Kluyveromyces lactis: one gene and its partner. The protein of the gene in region 1 interacts with the protein of each later gene in a biochemical or structural test. Links are inferred from orthologs where the notes say so. Each region holds a gene or a part of one and is shown in the gene's direction. Other genes may lie near its edges.

Region 1 (3,033 bases):
GTCAATTTTACCATAATTTTGATAGTGCAGATATCCTCAATATATGAGGATAAATAATATAACATCTTTGGGTATAAATTTGTCATCATCTCTTCTGTAATAAATTTATCTAAATGCTGTTCAACCAGAACAAATAACCTTGGCGTAGGATTATTCAATGACTCGATCAATTTACTGAATTCATTACTGTTTGGGTCTAGGTGAAACTCCCATAGTGTAAATGTGAGATCTTGGGGATTTGTTTCAGCCCGCTGAACAAAATCCGTGTAGTTTAATTTCGTAATCTTTGAACCCTCAATAAGTTTTGGATTTTCTGTAAGAGAGGAACAAGTCATTAGGAGAGGTGATAACTGTTGCCATTGAGGGGCACTTCGCGGCAGTGGTACTAAATTAGCAATCCAAAGTTGTAAATAACTCATGACATTGTTCTCAGGGTTAATTTGCTGCAAAAACCAGTTCCATACTTCATTGCTTTTATACTTTTGAGTATAACTTGTCAACTCTGTATTGTTGAGTAATAGTAAACAACAGCTAATCAGTTTTACGACAAATAACTTTTCATCACTAGTAGTGAATGGTAAGAAATCCAGATCATCTTCGAACTTAAGCCCTTCTCCGAGTGTTTTTAATTGATTAACGTGAATGACGGAATTGGAATCATTAAAAGAAGTATTGTGATGTTGAGCATCCAAAATACCTTCATTATTTTCATCATCCTCATCGACATTTGATGCTTCTTCTTGTAGCTCTTCATCACTTTGAAACTCTTTTTTCAATAATGTACGTGTTCTTCCGTATCTCACCTGGCTCACTGCTGAAGTGGAGACCACTTTAAGACATTGAATTTGGCTATAAGTCGATATTACATCGTCGGAGTCTTTCAATGACGAAATCATCGAGGAGATACTGTCAATTGTACTTTGAAACTCATGAATCTCAGAATCATTATCAACAGCTTCTTCAACATCTTTCATATCGTCATTGTCGACTGTTATTCGTTTATGAAGCCTTGTCACTTTACGTTTCTTCTTCATAGATGTCGACCCCATACCATCCAAAATATCGAATGGATCAGCTTCAATTGTCTTTGAATCACGGTTTTCAAATGACTCGTATTTATGAGAGGAAGACACATACTCTTCTCTGACAGGAGCCATGGGAGAAGTCTCATAAGTTCTATCTAAATCTGTTGATAAACTTGTTTCTTCCTCGTCAGTTGAAGTGAAATTGTCCTCATCGCTTAACTCATTGTCTTTTTTATTCAAATGTCGCCTCGCCAAGGCTTGAAATTTCCCATAGTGACCATAAACTCTCGTCTTCATTTATCAGAACCTCCCAATGGGCTTTGTTGGTTTGCTTCCCCTTGTTTTCTTTGTTGTAATTTGTTCGCGTCTAAACAGTATCGTTTCACGTTAAAGTCCTTAAATTTTACGTGTTTTCCTCAAAGCGATTTCAATCTAGAGAAGAGAAAAGCTATGAACAACTTTTACAGAGATAACACAGAGGGAAAAGAACGTGCTAAAAGACCTGGAACTGGATTCAAGTCATTGGTTTTGATTATCATTGCCATAGTACCGAAAATGTACGGAGATCTCGCTAACAAGTTGATACTAGAAGCAAAGAGAACGCAACAGTTATCTCAAGCTGGATTCAACAAACAGCAATTACCAGTATATCAAGACGAGCTAGTCCGTGGCATCCTGAAAGAGGTTGGATCCCTCAAGAAGAACGTGGATTACCTACGAGAACAGCAGCTTACTGATCAGGATAACAAAGTCGCTCAATGCCAGTACGTCGTTGCTATGCTTTCGATGGAAAGAAACAAAAGATGTCTATTAGCATACCAAAAGATGAGAAGTGAGATGCTAGACTCAATGGTTTGGGATAACAACGGGATGGAATTTTCTTCTGCCATATCAAACCACCCGAATCTATCATCGTTTGATTCCTCTGTTTTATCACATGCAGAACAAGAGTATCTCAAAGAGTATGCACAACTACTTACCGAATTGAAATCGGGAGAACTCTCAGAAATCGATTTGACTGGGATGTTACAACCGCCGAGCGATGTGTTCATCGACGTACGAGTATTGAAAGATGCAGGACAAATAGAAACAGAGTACGGTGTATTCAACCTGATTAAAGATTCCCAATTTTTCGTCAGACAATCCGACGTCGAAAGACTTATACAACAAGGATATCTGCAGAAGATATAGCAAGGCAGCTTTTTTCGCCGAATTCTGCACCTTTCATTGCAATTCTGTAGATATCATTGCTGGTGATATTGCTGATGCAACCGTTCCAAATGCAACTAACTAGCTTTACCTCACTTTCACTATGGGGAATGCACGATTTCTTTTTGGATTTCTTTTTCTTGCAGCTCATCGCCTTCAAAAATTTTTCAGTTTTGTATTTAAGGCAACGAGGCATAAGTAACAGAACAGTACTTGATCTGGAACCAACTTGTTAGAACGGTTATTGGTTTGATTGCATTGAGTATAGTGTACAGCTTATTGGGATATAATATTTGTCACCATACATATACCAAGACTTGTGTTTCATCTTTAGTCTAATTGTTGAGCATATCTTTCCTAATTGTAAAGCTAATAAAATAAAGGATGTCCAAGACTGATGTCACTGATTCTGCTACGCAGAAAAAAGAATTGAACGAGTATGAACAACACTATTTCACCTCTTATGACCATTTCGGTATTCATGAAGAGATGTTGCAAGATACTGTGCGTACGCTTTCGTACCGTAACGCTATAGCCCAAAATAAGGACTTCTTTAAAGGTAAGGTTGTCCTAGATGTTGGATGCGGTACTGGTATTCTATCTATGTTTGCTGCAAAGAACGGTGCTAAGCATGTCATTGGTGTTGATATGTCTAGTATTATTGAAATGGCTAAGCAAATTGTTGAATTGAATGGTCTTTCAGACAAGATCACTTTGTTACGTGGTAAATTGGAAGACGTTGTGTTGCCTTATAAGAAGGTTGATATCATTATTTCCGAATGGATGGGTTACTTCTTAT
Region 2 (3,953 bases), on another chromosome or scaffold:
AAACCAAAAACAGTTAAAATGCTAAAGATAACGAGGTAACTGTCAGAAAGTCAGTCTGAGACAGCTGTTCTAACCTGATTTCCAGTTTTAAGGTACATTACAGTACAATGCAGATACTCAGCTAGGCGAATTTTTTTTATTTTGAGAATTTTTTGTTGGCTTTTTCTTTTGCATCTTAGAAACGTGTGTAGGACTGAGAGTTTTGTGCGAAATCTTGAGTGTGTGGACTGAGAAACGGTGAAATAAATGTGGTCTGACTAAGTGTCATTGTGAACGACGCCGACACATAGGGCTGTGCCGGGGCCTGTACCCTTTTCCACACAGTAGTAATAATAATAAACATTAGCTTCGGTGATGTTTAACGGCATAAACTGTAAACTATTGGTATGCCGGTCCGTATGTAGTGCATTTTTGCAACACGTAAACTGGGAAGGAGCTAAATTGATTTTTTAAATTGATTTCTCAAATTTAAGGGTGCGGTTTACGCGTTTGTTTACGTTTTTTGACGTTTACGTACGGTACAACGCGTAAAATGTAAACAATTTATGGGGGGCGGGGAGGTAATAAATTACACCTGGTTTACGCGTTGCGATGACATACCTCTCGTTTACCAAGGGCTATCCCTGAGGGCAGGGGCGGCGGTACACTTTGAGCGAGGGGAAATGTTGAATTTCAGTTTCTGAAACTGGGGTGTCCATTTACGAATGCCAAATTCCTATACTATATCCATTGTCCACTCGATTGGCCCATTGAACACTTGTTAGGCTTAGATAATGCAATGTTAAGGTTGTTTTCACCCAATTTTTGAGGTTACTGCCTCTCTATACCGGGGGTCCAGCCAAGCCAATGTGGTCGTTTATGAAAAGTACTGAAAATTGAAAAATTGAATTGCAATTTCAAATTAAAAATAGACTATAAGAGGGAGGGTAATTATGTTGGTATGTTTTGTCACGTGGTTGTGTCCGGGTAATGCGTCTTTCATCTTCTACCCGATTAGGAACTGTAAAATAAAAATCACTTTCGTTTTTCCAATTGATCTTTGAAACATTTACGCATACACTTTCTGCTAATCTTCAACAACTTCTCCGTTATCAGTTTTCCTACTGTCTGCTGCCACTCACACCAACCAACGATTCAGAACACCACCAGTACCATGGCTTCATCGGTTTTGCCCACACTGGATCTCGGAATTGACTACGAGGTAGCTCAAGATAATATCAAAGATTTCTTGATCCATTACAAAGAGGAAACTATCGGTTCTACTGGGGAGAACGATAATGACGATAACTTGGATCCTGAAGTTGGTCAGGGCCCAAAGTACTTGCAACAATTGCAACATATTGCCAATAGAGAACAAGATATCTTGTATATCGAATTGGACGATGTGTACCATTATCAGCGCACCAAGCAATTTGAAAATTTGTCTTCGTCAAATACAGCAGCACAAGGCAAGAACTTAGTTAACTTACACCGTATCATCATGGAAAACACTAAGCGGTTCACAGAACTTTTCTCCAACTGTGTAGATGAACTATTGCCGCCTCCAACGAAAGATATCGATTACGAAACAGATGTATTGGACGTCATTTTACACCAACGAAGATTGAGAAACGAAAGAAATATCTTGGAAACTAGAGATGAATTCCAACAAATGGCTCAAGGGATGGGCGAAGAGTCTCAAACCAATTTGGATCAATTGGCCACTACGGACGCTGATTTGTTCCCTGCTGCGTTGATTAGGAGATATCATTTGTATTTTAAACCGTTAACCAGCAGATCCACTAGGAAACTGAAACCAATGTCAGTAAGAGAAATTAAAGGCTCTTATTTGGGAAAATTGATTACAGTCCGTGGTATCATTACCAGAGTCTCTGATGTGAAGCCAAGTGTCACAGTCAACGCTTATACTTGTGATCAGTGCGGTCATGAAGTGTTCCAAGAAGTTAATAAAAGAACTTTTACCCCAATAATAGAATGTCCCTCTGCCCAATGTTCCGAAAATCAAACTAAGGGACAATTGTTCATGAGTACTAGGGCATCAAAGTTCAGTGCATTCCAAGAATGTAAAATTCAAGAACTATCAGATCAAGTGCCCATCGGGCATATCCCAAGGACATTAACTATTCACATTAATGGGCCATTAACTAGATCCATGATTCCAGGTGATGTGGTAGATGTTACTGGTATATATCTACCTTCACCATACACTGGTTTCCGTGCTTTGAAAGCTGGTCTATTAACGGAAACGTACCTAGAGACACAGTTTGTGTACCAGCATAAGAAAAAATTCGCATCTTTCCAAGTTGATGATCAATTGAAAGAAAGAGTAGCGAAAATCGTCAACCAAGGTGATGTTTATAACCGTTTGGCTAAATCAATTGCTCCAGAAATTTACGGTAATCTCGATGTTAAGAAATCTTTATTGTTATTATTAGTGGGCGGTGTTGAAAAAAAAGTCGGGGATGGTCTAAAAATCAGAGGTGATATTAACATTTGCTTGATGGGTGATCCTGGTGTTGCTAAATCTCAATTATTGAAATCTATCTGTAAAATTTCTCCGAGAGGTGTCTATACAACTGGTAAGGGTTCTTCTGGTGTAGGTCTAACAGCCGCCGTTATGAAGGATCCAGTGACTGATGAAATGGTGCTAGAAGGTGGTGCCCTCGTCCTTGCCGATAACGGTATCTGTTGTATCGATGAATTTGATAAGATGGATGAAAGTGATAGAACTGCTATCCATGAAGTTATGGAACAACAAACCATTTCAATTTCTAAGGCAGGTATTAACACTACTTTAAATGCCAGAGCCTCCATATTGGCAGCTGCTAACCCGCTATACGGAAGGTATAATCCAAGGTTATCTCCACTTGAAAATATTAATCTACCAGCAGCTCTTTTGTCTAGATTCGATATCATGTTTTTACTACTCGATATGCCAAGCAAAGAAAACGATGAGAAGTTAGCAGAACACGTCACGTACGTTCATATGTATGACAGGCAACCTGATTTTGGTTTCGAACCAATTCCTTCGAGCGAAATGAGAGAGTATATTGCATACGCCAAGACTAAGAGACCTGTGTTGTCAGCTGATGTCAATGAACACATAGTTCTATCTTATACAAGAATGAGACAAGACTCTAAGAAAGCGTTGGATTCTAAATTCTCGTTTGGGCAAGCAACACCTAGAACTTTACTTGCAATTATCAGACTATCACAGGCCTTGGCAAAACTAAGGCTCAGTGACACTGTGGAAATTGAAGATGTAGACGAAGCTTTGAGGTTGGTAGAAGTCTCTAAAGAGTCATTATACAGCGACCGCAAGAACCCATATGAAGATGAAAACCCAACAACCAGAATTTACACAATTATCAAGAAAATGGCGACTGAAAATGGTAGATTTAATAAAAGATTACCGTATGATGCTATTGTAAGAACGATTAGATCAAGAGGTTTCACTATGCTGCAACTGGTAAGCTGTATCAAAGAGTATGAGTATCTTAATGTTTGGCATCAAATAGAAGACGGAAACACCTTGCTATTTATTGACGATATTGATGATACAACGGAAGACAATTCTGATATAACTAACCCTTCGACGCAAAGGACACCGGATGAAGATGTCGATATGGAATAATACCTGACTATCTGCATACCACTAATCTGTTTTGATCCAATAATGCCTTTATTCCTTATTTTAGTTTTAAACCTAGTTTAACGACAAATTTGTATTACTATATACTAACGTTTAAGTAACTTCTAATGTGCCTCTTCTCCCAGATAGACTGAACGATGCAGAAGTAATCACAGTCTATCTTTCAAAACCAAAATTAATTTGTCGAATTCAAAATCTATCTATTTTGTGCATAAACCTAGCTTATGCCATCTACTACTTAGTCTAAGGTAAGTTTACATATTTGTTTACAACTTCTGAAACCTCAGAGAGTAGTTCTTGT

Evidence for each region.
Region 2: the proteins of PSF1 (region 1) and MCM7 form a complex in vitro, tested with the Saccharomyces cerevisiae proteins (2 studies listed by BioGRID). The link is inferred for Kluyveromyces lactis from reciprocal best matches to the Saccharomyces cerevisiae genes PSF1 and MCM7.

The regions. Positions count from the first base shown.
Region 1 is NC_006038.1:615,750-618,782, forward strand, and holds PSF1 (DNA replication protein PSF1), read left to right. Parts: upstream 1-1,580; coding exon 1,581-2,216; downstream 2,217-3,033. Other genes in the region: RAD61 (Rad61p), read right to left, coding at 1-1,322; protein-arginine omega-N methyltransferase HMT1, read left to right, coding at 2,619-3,033. UniProt on the Saccharomyces cerevisiae protein: Required for DNA replication. Functions as part of the GINS complex which plays an essential role in the initiation of DNA replication by binding to DNA replication origins and facilitating the assembly of the DNA replication machinery.
Region 2 is NC_006041.1:2,065,526-2,069,478, reverse strand, and holds MCM7 (DNA replication licensing factor MCM7), read left to right. Parts: upstream 1-1,153; coding exon 1,154-3,634; downstream 3,635-3,953. Other genes in the region: AAH1 (adenine deaminase), read right to left, coding at 3,896-3,953. UniProt on the Saccharomyces cerevisiae protein: Acts as a component of the MCM2-7 complex (MCM complex) which is the putative replicative helicase essential for 'once per cell cycle' DNA replication initiation and elongation in eukaryotic cells.